Linked DNA regions of Xenopus tropicalis. The protein of the gene in region 1 binds, or shares a complex with, the protein of each later gene. Links are inferred from orthologs where the notes say so. Each region holds a gene or a part of one and is shown on either strand. Other genes may lie near its edges.

Region 1 (4,154 bases):
TATTATAACAAAGAAAAATCAGATATAAAAAAATAAAATTATTGGCTTAAAATGGGAGATGGCCTTTCCATAACTGGGGGGCTTTCTGCTGGCATAACAACATACAATGAAATTTAACTGGTAGCTAAATATTTTGAGATTTTATTATGCAAAAATTATTTGCAGCACAGATAGGAGATAAAATCATTATACAGTGTTCCTTGGTTACCCATGGTAAAAGAGATTAAAAAATCCTAAATTACAAACATTAAGTAGCGCCTGCACGTGCAGTATTTAAAATAACAAACTTTATTAAACACAAATTGCACTTACAATTGTAGGAAACATAAAAAGCGTTTCTGTATTATATACAACTTCTAGCACCTCAGTACAGGAGACAGTCTTTTTGACTGCAGCTTGATTTCTAAAAGAGCTGGAACAAAAACTTTTCCCTTTGTACCTAAGTAAATTAGAGACAAAAATGACATGTTAATGACATGTTCTAAAACACCTCAAACACACAAAATGTTAGCAGCCAGCTGAGACCTACAAACAGGCCAGAGAAAGACCTGAAAAATACCAACTAACAGCCCAACTCCATGCAGAAAGAGGTGGACAGAAAATGTAAATTTACTGACAGATAAGCTTGTTAATGTAAAAAATACATATGCCCTTTTTTATTATTGTTGCCCCCACACAAACGTTCTTGATGTGATTGTGCTTGGAGAATGGGAGTAACATTTCAATACAATAGAAAACTTGGAAATAGAAAAGTTGGTGTAAAGTGCAACAAAAAAATATTATATATAAAACTGGGCCATTGAATATTTTAGTTTAAACACATTTCAATAAATATTAGATATGTTATACCAAACTAAGCAAAAATATTTAATAGCACAAAGTTTGGGAGTATAATACAGATTTTGCAAGGTTACATTGGCATAGTCAAAACTCCATTAATAACAGCAAAAGCATAAACCAGTACAATTGGCATACATTGAAAGGTATGGCTGAAGACAACCAGGGGCCTTAAATCAAAAATGGGATGATTAAAGGAACAGCTTTCTTTACTGATCAGTAACTCCTATAAAATACACAACACAAGAACATTTGTTACAAACGGGCATACCCTTTTGCACACAAGAACCGCAGGACCACCATCTTGATCCAAAGGGAGCACTTGCCTTCTCCATTAAAGCAGTTTATATTAACTTTTAGTATGACTTAAGCAACATTCCGAGCTAATTTGCTATTGGTCATATTTTTAAGGTTTAGAAAATTTTAACCTCACACAACAAATTTTTTTGGTTGCTTGAGTTAGTGAACTGCCTCTTTCTGCAGCAACTGAGACCTTCCAAGACATTACCATTGTCATACTTCACATGTGAATAAGCAAAGTTGAGTGACATACATTATGATACTTTATGACTACATATCATATCCCAGGGCCTCCTGAATGGGACTCACAGAGTTTGGTCTAGACTTGGCTCCCTGCCTCAGAGCTGTACAACTATACTCCTAAGACTGCATACTTCCATTGTTTTCCATAAATATGGATTTATGTAGCTTAGTTATGTATACAAGTAACGGTCTAGTACAAGTTTTTATTATAGAGAAAGATCATATGTTTTTTTAATTACAGCTATGGAACCTGTTATCCAGAATGCTCGGTCTGGTGTTTTATGGACAAGGGGTCTTTGCTTAATTTGGACCGCTATACCTTAAGCTTACTAAAAAATAATTTAGACATGAAATAAACCCAATAGGTTTGTTTTACCTCCAATAAGGATATCTTAGCTGGGATCAAGTACGTAATTTGGTGCTGACTACATAACTTTCCAGATAAGGTTTCCCATACCTATATACATACTTACATACACTGAAATCTAACTGGTATCTGAATGTTTTCAGTTTTATTATGCAAAATTTAATTGCAGTACAGATAGTAAACAAGATATTATAAAGTGTTCCTTTGTACCCAAGCCAGAAGAGATGAACCAATCCTAAATTCCAAACAAAGTAGAGCCTCTGCATGCTGCATTTAAAAAATAAATAGAAACTTTATTAAAGACAACGTGGACTGAGATCATACAACAGGGAATGAGATAGTAAAGCTATCATAGCTCCCCTATCCATTTTAGGGGAAATGGAAAAATCCTAAATTAAAGCAGATAAGTACAATATCCAATTGGCATTGTTTGCAAATTGCATATATCATACGTTCCATGTAATGTAGCAGTGAAAGGTCACATAGAAAGCTTAAGGGACATTCCCCCCAAAAAAATTCGTAGGAACATTGTGCTTGTTATTTCCATGCAGCACTGGCAGAGGAGGCAAACTAGACAGTGCAGCAGAGAAATGGACCAAATGTTCGTGACACTGAAGCAGCCCCCCATCTAGATCTGCCCACTAGTGACTAGCTACTTGACTTTTGCATGGAGATTTGTTGCATTAGAATGTGCCTTCGGCGAGCCAGAGAGGAGACAAATGGCAGAAGATAGGGGAATGGAATTACTTGTGTGGTTTTTGGTCATTTTTACTTGTTTGGTGGCACATATGTGACGTATTTAAGCCATATTCCATGCCGATCTCTGAAGCTCTAAATTAATAACATAATTCTGAAGGCTCTACTAGTTAATACATCATCAGACAGTTTATTGTATGTTTATACATTTAACATATCCACCCATTAAACTTAAAATAAATCCGCCACAGTGTCTTTATTGTAAAAAGCCCCTAAACTGGTATAAAAACATTTCAAACGTTTACTCGCATTACCATTACGAGCGTATCAAATAAAGTTCCACAGGGCAGCCATCTTCCCTTTTCTTTTCAGCGCTACCATGTAAATATCGCCATTAAAAAGAAAAAAAATAACAAAAGGAGTCATCCAATCCGAAGGCACGGCGATTGTTGCCCTGCGCTTTCCTTTCTGTCTTCATGCGTATGCGACGTCGTCGCGTACGCATTAACGTTAAACGTAATCGCCGATCACGTGACATCGCCGATCAATACAATCGCCAGGAGCTTCGCTTCCTGTCGTCTATAACATACCTAAAACCTCAGTTGCGCACACAAATTCTACAAATATTACATCGTAAGTATCTAAGGGGCGCCTAAATCATCTAAATACATGTCAAAAGTCATCTACCCTTAAGCCTCATGTGGACACTTTTGCGAACATGTATTATAAGGTTATAAGATCCCCTCAGCTTACAAATGCCTCACGAACTAACGTGTTTGGTTGTCAGACCATTTTTTAACGTTAGTCTAAGGACGTCTTTCGGCTGGCTTGTTATAATTACAGGGATCATAGGAAAGTTACAAAAGCACTTTACTTAACCCACGAAAGCAGAAGTGGAAAATTGCTGTAAATAATTTGTGCTGTAAATAAAATGTTTATCATGCAGTGAGCAGAAATTTATTTATCGTGCATGAATGGTACTAATAGCAAACAACTGGTGAGGGCCTTTTCATGTGAAGTACTTTTTAAACTTTTCTACATGGATATGAAATAGATATGGTTTTAACTACATATTGCTTGTGACAATAGTGATGTTGGTATATAACACATATTAGCAACAAGTCAGCTGAAAAACACTGTGAGACTATTAGCAGGTTACCATGACAGCCTTCTATATTGACCCAGTTTGCCACAGTATAAGTCCCTGCATTCGCTGTAGGGTATTTTTCAGTAGCAGCATACACCCTCCATTATAAATGACATGCAGAATCTAGATACAATAACTCTAGTGAGTTACATTTTAACCCAAACATCATGCTGAGCACAGCTGTATCCAGCATCATGGTTGGGTTCAACTATAACTCAATCCTCAAGTCCTTCTTGCACTAGTGTGGCATATAATAGCTCTCTGAAATACATAGACATTCTCTTATTTGATAGACTATATACAATCCCAGCATTGCTCTGTTATAAACCAAAGAAAAATTGGTTGAAATGCATTTTTGTTGTGTATGATACACATATGTATACTGATTAGTGATGAACAAATGTTTTCGCTAGACGTGGATTCCCAGCGAATTTGGCAATTGGCAAATTGTTTTGCAAAACTTCCGTGAAAATTCACTGCAGAAAAATTTGTTGCGCAGAATTTTTTTTTGTGCGTCAAATTGGGCATTGTTACAACAAAAAAGGGAGCAGGCGCATCAAAATT
Region 2 (4,299 bases), on another chromosome or scaffold:
TGGGTGTGAGAGGTACAGTGGTACAGTCTAGGGTGGTATATGGGTGGTACTGTCTAGGGTGGGTATGAGAGGTACAGTGGTACTGTCTAGGGTGGGTGTGAATGGTACAGTCTAGGGTGGGTATGAGTGGTACAGAAATATGAGAGTTCTGTAGTGCACATGCCCTTGCCCAAGCCTGGCAGGTTATGCCTGAAAGGGGGTGGGGTTGCTGAAGCAGGTAAACTAAGTGGCTGGAATCCCTGAGGATGCCTAATAATATTTACTACTACCAGTCATTTTACTTTTCCTTCTCCTTTAAAGCTGGGCAAATTTTAGATTTGCTTCTTTGGCCTTGAGCTGACCAATTTGATTTGGAGCCATTTTATCTAGTCTAATAGTTTCTACTATTTTCTAGCTCATTCTGTAGTGCTACAGCCTAAACTCAGCAATAAACCTACGGCTCCCTGTACTGTTGAGGCATGATCTTACTGAGTACAATGGAAATTAGGCACTAAGTTATGTACATAAACCAACCTTGTGTTGTGAAACTAATTTGTGCGTTTAATTGGTTCCTCAGAGAAAAAGGTTTAGGGGCACATATAGCAAAATTTGTATTATTGTACTACAAAATCTCAGAATTTAGATATAACAAGGCTTGATTATTACATCTGAATGAATACGTTTATGGTTTTTATAGCTTCTTAGGGCTCTGGCACACGGGGAGATTAGTCACCCGCGACAAATCTCCTTGTTCGCGGGAGACTAATCTCCCCAAAATGCCATCCCACCGGCGATTCAGTGAAATCGCGGAAGTTGCCTTGAGAGGAAACTTCCGCTATTTCACTGAAATCGTGCCGCCACGTATGCCATCCCACCAGCGAATGACATTTTCGCCGGTTGGATGGCATTTCGGGGAGATTAATCGCCCGCGAACAGGGAGATTTGTCGTGGCGACTAATCTCCCCGTGTGCCAGAGCCCTTAAGAGATTTGGAGAAACTAAAACCACACGCAGGTCATTTTACAAATTTTGCTTGAAGGAATCCCATTGTGACATCTGCAAGTGTATAATTTGACTACACCATTTTAGTATACCTTTTTTTGTCATTTCAAGCAATTTGCTGCTGCTAATATTATAAATATCCCCTACATCTTATCTTTTTTTTTTTTTTACTTTATTTGTTCTTTTAAACAGTCATCTAGTTGTTGGGTCACTGATTTATACAGTAGGATTAATAGCAGATTAGCTTCATGGTGTTGTCTTTACTGCTTGCTATGGTCACATAAGGTTGTCATACACTTGCAGGTTCTAGCTGCCAATTTAGTTCCTTCAGACCAATTTGGCAGCTTATCTGCCTGTGTATGGGCACCCCCAACACGGATCGGGGACCACATTGGCTCGTTGTTATGGCCCTCTGTCCTACTGTTAACTTATCACATTTACCAATACAGGTGCTAACTGCTGAATGTAAGCTATGTTTTAATGTTTTTTTTTTTTTTTTTTTTTTAACTTCTTTTTATAGGATTTTTGTCTGCTGCTGGAATGGTTTATTTTAATTTGTAGGAACAGCACACTTTGTTTTATTCTTAGTGGGATTTCCAATTAACGCAACATGGATCAAAACAACAGTATACCCCCTTTCCAGGGGTTGGCATCACCACAGGTAAGTGTGAACCCTTTTTTCCCTTTTACCACAATTCCCCCTCCATAAAATAAAATGCCTTTAAAAGCATTGTAATATTCACTTCATTTGCACTTTCTAAATTGGGGGGTATACGGTATACCGGGTGTGGTTAATTTGGACAACAGATACAATACTGAAGAATGAAAAAATAGAAGAAAAACTTGAGACACAGGCCAATATGCTTCCAACTGACTTAGGGGGGAAATGCAAGTCAGCAGCCAATATTGGCTTCAATGCAAATGTTTCTCTTGCTGGGGCGCTTGTCGTAATAGGTGGAGGAACGCCATCCTGAGGGCTCTTGAACACAAAACAGATGTGTTCCGTTCTCATTCATGCATGTGAATGAATATAGAGCTGCATTTCATCCTATGCTTCCTTGTGGTGGAAAGGAGAAGAAATCCAATTCGGGAGACTGCAGGGTGAAAACACCTGTGTGTAAGAGCCCTTAGCTTGTCCTACTCCATGTGCAGGGCTATACCATAAGATTTTCATTAAAGAAATCCCCATGTACTAAGCCCATTTTAACTTGTGATTCAACTTGTGTGTGGGTTTGAGAGCAAATTTGTTATAATTTTTTTTTTTTTTTTGTCTTTTATTTCTGTAGGGTTCTCTGACTCCAGGGATTAACATTTTCAGTCCGTTGATGCCCTATGGAACTGGTCTGACCCCTCAACCTGTACAAACAACTAACAGTTTATCAATATTGGAAGAACAGCAAAGACAACAACAACAGGCCCAGCAGTCTACATCACAACAAGGCAATCAGGGGTCAGGCCAAACCCCACAACTGTTTCACCCACAGACTCTTACCACAGCACCTCTTCCAGGAAATACACCCTTATACCCCTCCCCAATGACTCCCATGACCCCTATTACTCCTGCTACCCCTGCATCAGAAAGTTCAGGAATTGTTCCTCAGCTACAGTAAGTCTCATCATCCTGGGGGACATTTTGCAGATATCATTTGTCAGATTATCTGTATCTGCACACTTGTCAACAAATCCTTATGTTTGTCTGTACATTTCTGTAGTGCCATAGAGCATACAACTCTGCAAATGGTAAATATTAGATATACAGGAAATGGAAACATATTCTGGCATATTTTAATTTTAGACAGTAATGACTTTATTTGTTATACCACATTTGAGTGTGGCCTGTCAAAATTAAAAGACCTTATCTTTGTTTTACCTTTGGTACTAATGAGTATTTTAACAGTGCTGCATTACCTTTGTTTACCCTGTGAGTGTTACATTTGTTTAAAAAAAAAAAAAGCTACATTTCTTAAAAATATAGGAGTCCATATTAGATTTAAAAGCTACCAGGCCAGGGGTGTGTGTATATATTAGGTCTAGAAACAGATGCAGACGGTTTCCTCATTTCAGACTTTTACACCACATTCTTGAGACTGAATTGATGTCATATTTAAAGTGAAACTTTATTGAGGGAGAAAGACTTGTCTTGATATGTAATTTAGCATGTACAGTAGTATCCTAGTTTTAATGTGTCCTATATCTGTCCAACATGTGTGAAAAATAGAACAAGTAAAGAATTGGGAAATTAAAATAGTTTAGCACTTTTACAAGTACTAATAGTGCAAATTTTTTTTTTGTAATACTTTTTAAAAATTTCCCATGGGGCTAGCCATGTTCATTTCCCAGGGTGCCACAGTCATGTGACTTTTGCTCTGATAAAGGTCAGTCACACTTTACTACTGTGCTGCAGATAGGAGTGATATCATCATCCCCCTGCAGGCGATCAGCAGAACAATGTAAGTTAGCAAGCTAGCAGCTCCCAGTAGATATCAGAACAGTACTCAATAGTAAAAAAAAAAAAAAAATTCAAGTCCAGTAGCTCTGGCTCCTTCTGAAAGCTCAGACTCGGGCACAATGCACTGATCTGGCTGCCTACAACTAAAAAATTACTTTTGTTGGTTTAAGAATAAAATTTTAAATGGTAAATTATTTGCTATGTAAACAGTAATTTAGAAATATAAGTACACAATAAAAATTAATGACTGAATACCTTTAAATACAGTGAGCAAAAATATTTGGATTTGTAATAACTGCTTTTACATTGTTCAGGAACATAGTGTCCACTGTAAATCTTGGCTGCAAACTGGATCTGAAAACAATTGCACTTAGAGCGCGAAATGCAGAGTATAACCCTAAGGTAAGACAAAAGCCTTTGTTGTATCTTATTCACCTAATAGTTGCTTTCACTGTGACAGACGGGGAGATTAGTTGCCACGTGACAAATCTCCCTTGTCGCGAGCAACTAATCTCCTCGAAATACTATCCCATTGGCTGGAATGTAAATTGCCAGTGGGATGGCATAAGCATCGCCGAAGTTTCCTCTCAAAGATGCCGCGTATGCCATCCCACCTGCGATTTACATTCTAGCCGGTGGGATGGCATTTCGGGGAGATTAGTCGCAACTAATCATCTCGTCTGTCACAGCCCTAAATATTCTTATCTATCTGTAAAAGTCATTCAGGAGAACACACTGGTGCATTGTATGGCACTTAATTCTGTAAATGTGTGATGAGAAAAGGATTTCCTGTTTGTAATTTTGTCCTGCCATACCCACTGGGCATAGTATTTTTATGCTGGCCTAGAAGTGGCATGAGGATGGGTTATC
Region 3 (4,164 bases), about 110 Mb from region 1:
GCACAATAGCCCCACTGAAGGGCATTTGCTGGCGGGGTACCTTGCTTTTGCTGCGAGAGCTCCCGGAGGCCGTCCCCTTCATCTTACAGTGCTGCAAGGCGTCATTTGCAATGTCAGAGATGAACTTCTGAGATGCCAAGGAGATCAGCCGGATTCTAGGAGAGACAAGCGGTGGGGTCAGCGGATCACTACAGAGATCGAGAGGATCCGGTGTGAAATTCAAAATAAGCGAAGTCAATACAGATGCTGTGCTGAACTCATAGTAATCACCATACAGGCCTGATTGGATAACTGCAGTAAGACTAATGAAAGCAACTCTGATTGGTTGCTAGGGTTAAAGGAAAAGTAACACTAAACATTTTTAACTAAAAAAATCTATTCTACCCTCCCCCAATAATTGCCCTATCCTGAAATCCATTTGTTATTGTGAATGCATCAACTATGCGGTGATCGACTGATCTAGCCCCTGACTTCTGTATATAGGAATGAGTCAGGCTAGGCTCGATCAGTCGATCACCGCATAGTTGATGCATTCACAATAACAAATGGATTTCAGGATAGGGCAATTATTGGGGGAGGGCAGAATAGATTTTTTAGTTAAAAATGTTTAGTGTTACTTTTCCTTTAAGGGCCGATTCGGGTCCTTCAGACCAATTCAGCAGCTTATCTGCCCGTGTATGGGCACCCCCCGACGGGCCTACCCAACCGATATCTGCCATTGCGATGGTTTGGCCCTAGCCCGGTATTGCCCACTGTAGGTGGAGAAGATCCGCTCATTTGGCAATCTCACCAAACGAGTCTCCACCAATTACATTACAGTTCCTAGAAAGCAAGATAAACAATAATAAAGAGGGATAATACATATAACGGAATGGCAGCACCAGAACGGGCACTTTAACCCCTATTTAGGCCTCCAGTTGCTGTGGCCATAAGCGTGACTGTCAGCTCTCCTGGTAGGCACAGAGCAAACGGCTACTGGCCACGGCGGCCCATAACCTAGCGCTACAGGCTGGCCAGAATAAGGGAAGGTTCTTCCTAGTCGAGGCAACTGCTACAGGGCTCTGAGAAGCTCCGGTACCCACGGGCCAATAACGTATGGCAGCAGGAGTTGTACTTACATGCGTGGGTCGGATGCTTCAAACCCGGCCCGGTTCAGGTAATATCCAGTGACGGCATCTGGGATCTGCAGGAAATCGGGAGAAGGAATGTAAAGCAAATGTTGGAACAGATACAAGCAATGATACAGGGAAACAATATGGCAGCTCCCACCAACAGATATACATACATACAGAGAAATGATGTTCTGTAGGCACAAGCTGCACCCTGACACTGTGTAAGGTGGGGCAAATGCCTGGCACTGCCCCCCCCCAGTACCCTAGGGCACAGCATTTCCCATACAGACCCAAGGGACACTTACCGTAGGGGTATAGTCCTCCAGCTGCATCAGGAAATCCACCAGGGGGGTAGTGGAAATGACAGGTTTGACATCGCCATTTGCCACCCCCGGGGGCAGGTACACGCCATTAGAGAGGGATCCCTCGGAGGGGGCAGCAGCCGCTGATGCAGGGACTGGAGGATCAATAACAGAACATACATTGGAATTGGAAAGGACTGGGCAATAGTCACACAGCCGGGCACTTACCTGCGCCCAATTCTCCAAATACCCCCCCACCCTATCTGTCCCCAAACTGTACTCCCCATTGTACAACCCAGTGGGCACCATTTGCCCCGAAACAGGTCCATTCACCCAGCTCCTTCCATACGTTCCCCTTCTCACCCCCGGCACCACTCCTACCCCCTGCCCTAGCAAAGGGCAATTCTCAGCTATGACAGCCCCCTCCTCTCTAGCTGCCCCCCGGGACCCCTTTCATCTCCAGCTGCCCCCCGGGGCCCCCCTCTCATCTCCAGCTGCCCCCCGGGGCCCCCCTCTCATCTCCAGCTGCCCCCCGGGGCCCCCCTCTCATCTCCAGCTGCCCCCCGGGGCCCCTCTCATCTCCAGCTGCCCCCCCGGCCCCTCTCATCTCCAGCTGCCCCCCGGGGCCCCCTCTCATCTCCAGCTGCCCCCCCCCGGGCCCCTCTTTGCTCCAGCTGCCCCCCCCGGGCCCCTCTCATCTCCAGCTGCCCCCCCGGCCCCTCTCTGCTCCAGCTGCCCCCCGGGGCCCCCTCTCATCTCCAGCTGCCCCCCCCGGTGCCCCTCTCTGCTCCAGCTGCCCCCCCCGGGGCCCCTCTCTGCTCCAGCTGCCCCCCCGGGCCCCTCTCTGCTCCAGCTGCCCCCCCGGCCCCTCTCTGCTCCAGCTGCCCCCCCCGGGCCCCTCTCTGCTCCAGCTGCCCCCCCGGCCCCTCTCTGCTCCAGCTGCCCCCCCCGGCCCCTCTCTGCTCCAGCTGCCCCCCCCGGGCCCCTCTCTGCTCCAGCTGCCCCCCCGGGCCCCTCTCTGCTCCAGCTGCCCCCCCGGCCCCTCTCTGCTCCAGCTGCCCCCCCCGGGCCCCTCTCTGCTCCAGCTGCCCCCCCGGCTCTCCCTTTCCCCTCCATGCTTGGGTTTCTCTCCCCAGGCCTTTCCTGGAGTCCCAGTCCCCTGTGAGTACCCCCCCCTCCCTCTCCGGTTCAGTTGCTGCCGCTCACCGCTGGCTCTTCGCTCCCCCGTGTCCCTCCCGGGTAGAGCAGCTGCAGAGGCCGCGGCAGGCCCGGGTTTGGGAATGTTTGCCGGGCTGGGCTTACTCTCTGGGGCCGGACCGGGCTGGACTGAGGCAATAGCAGATAGAGAGTCTGGCGCTGTCTCCGTCCCGCTCATCTTCACCCTTGGACAGGAACTTCCGTCAACACCCGGAAACAGCTCCTCCACTTAATCTCCTCCCCAAAACAACGGGCAGTGCCTTTACGCCATCTTCCTGCAAGGCGTGTCCCAGCGCCCCCTACCGGCCAATGCGGCAGCTACACAGCTCAGGAGAAACATAACCTTACGTAGAAAGCCCATTGGCTACCTGCCAGGGCGCGGCCATTTACTGGCTTAAAATGTTGCCAATCAAAGCGGTGATAGCAAAGCTGCGTTAGGATTTGAACAAAGCCAGACTGTGATTGGATGTCGCTTGGTTACGTGCTGAGGCACGCTAGAGTGCCGCCATGTTGCTACACACGGAAATGAGCTTAGCGAAGTGCATGGGAGTCAGACTGACAGTGAGGCGCGACACCAACTCCTTCTTCTGAGCGTGAAAAGCGCCACAGGCAACCAAACCGGGGCTGTTAGGAGCCGGCGGGCTGGACTTTACCCTGGGGCAGGGGCTGCTTGAGGCCAGTATTTGGGTGTAGCAATATGGCGGAGTTCGCAGACCGAAAACGGACTGGGAAACCACAAGAGTGAAAACCGGATCCAAATTGCTCCGACATTGATTCACTGAGCAAGTGGGTGAGTGTCCGCCTCCCGGGAGCTGGGACTTTCTTTTTATTGATCCACCCCCCCCCCCCCCGCCTCCACTCAGGCAGCCATTATGGGGGTCTCTTTACACTCACTGTCAGTAACTAACCCACTCACTGTCAGTAACTAACCCACTCACTGTCAGTAACTAACCCACTCACTGTCAGTAACTAACCCACTCACTGTCAGTAACTAACCCACTCACTGTCAGTAACTAACCCACTCACTGTCAGTAACTAACCCACTCACTGTCAGTAACTAACCCACTCGCCGTCAGTAACTAACCCACTCACTGTCAGTAACTAACCCACTCACTGTCAGTAACTAATACACTCGCCGTCAGTAACTAACCCACTCACTGTCAGTAACTAACCCACTCACTGTCAGTAACTAACCCACTCACTGTCAGTAACTAACCCACTCACTGTCAGTAACTAACCCACTCACTGTCAGTAACTAACCCACTCGCCGTCAGTAACTAACCCACTCACTGTCAGTAACTAACCCACTCACTGTCAGTAACTAATACACTCGCCGTCAGTAACTAATACACTCGCCGTCAGTAACTATACACTCGCCGTCAGTAACTAACACACTCGCCGTCAGTAACTAACACACTCGCCGTCAGTAACTATACACTCGCCGTCAGTAACTAACACACTCGCCGTCAGTAACTAATACACTCGCCGTCAGTAACTAATACACTCGCCGTCAGTAACTAATACACTCGCCGTCAGTAACTAACACACTCGCC

The links. Proteins that work in one complex are often made in the same cells at the same time.
Region 2: taf8 (region 1) and tbp share a complex: the UniProt entries of both Homo sapiens proteins name them as parts of the TFIID basal transcription factor complex. The link is inferred for Xenopus tropicalis from reciprocal best matches to the Homo sapiens genes TAF8 and TBP.
Region 3: the proteins of taf8 (region 1) and taf10 are in contact, whole or in part, in a crystal structure (PDB 4WV4), measured with the Homo sapiens proteins. The link is inferred for Xenopus tropicalis from reciprocal best matches to the Homo sapiens genes TAF8 and TAF10. Residues at the interface, in NP_612639.2 of Homo sapiens: Arg33, Thr36, Leu37, Val40, Ser43, Leu44, Leu45, Ala48, Gly49, Phe50, Glu51, Ser52, Ala53, Glu54, Ala56, Ser57, Thr60, Leu61, Met64, Leu65, Gln66, Tyr68, Ile69, Ser70, Ile72, Gly73, Arg74, Ala76, Lys77, Cys80; in NP_006275.1 of Homo sapiens: Pro115, Leu116, Phe119, Leu120, Leu123, Tyr126, Thr127, Thr129, Ile130, Pro131, Val134, Thr135, Tyr137, Tyr138, Leu139, Ala142, Gly143, Phe144, Glu145, Ser147, Asp148, Arg150, Ile151, Leu154, Ile155, Leu157, Ala158, Ala159, Gln160, Lys161.

Annotation. Positions count from the first base shown.
Region 1 is NC_030678.2:70,731,924-70,736,077, forward strand, and holds the start of taf8 (transcription initiation factor TFIID subunit 8), read right to left. Parts: upstream 2,801-4,154; 5' UTR 2,758-2,800; intron 440-2,757; 5' UTR 328-439; coding exon of another isoform or gene 313-327; intron 1-312. UniProt on the Homo sapiens protein: The TFIID basal transcription factor complex plays a major role in the initiation of RNA polymerase II (Pol II)-dependent transcription.
Region 2 is NC_030681.2:50,706,182-50,710,480, forward strand, and holds the start of tbp (TATA-box-binding protein), read left to right. Parts: upstream 1-1,499; 5' UTR 1,500-1,590; coding exon 1,591-1,641; intron 1,642-2,266; coding exon 2,267-2,586; intron 2,587-3,743; coding exon 3,744-3,831; intron 3,832-4,299. UniProt on the Homo sapiens protein: The TFIID basal transcription factor complex plays a major role in the initiation of RNA polymerase II (Pol II)-dependent transcription.
Region 3 is NC_030678.2:177,470,375-177,474,538, forward strand, and holds the start of taf10 (transcription initiation factor TFIID subunit 10), read right to left. Parts: upstream 2,801-4,164; 5' UTR 2,790-2,800; coding exon 2,621-2,789; intron 1,570-2,620; coding exon 1,418-1,569; intron 1,184-1,417; coding exon 1,119-1,183; intron 189-1,118; coding exon of another isoform or gene 156-188; coding exon 41-155; intron 1-40. UniProt on the Homo sapiens protein: The TFIID basal transcription factor complex plays a major role in the initiation of RNA polymerase II (Pol II)-dependent transcription.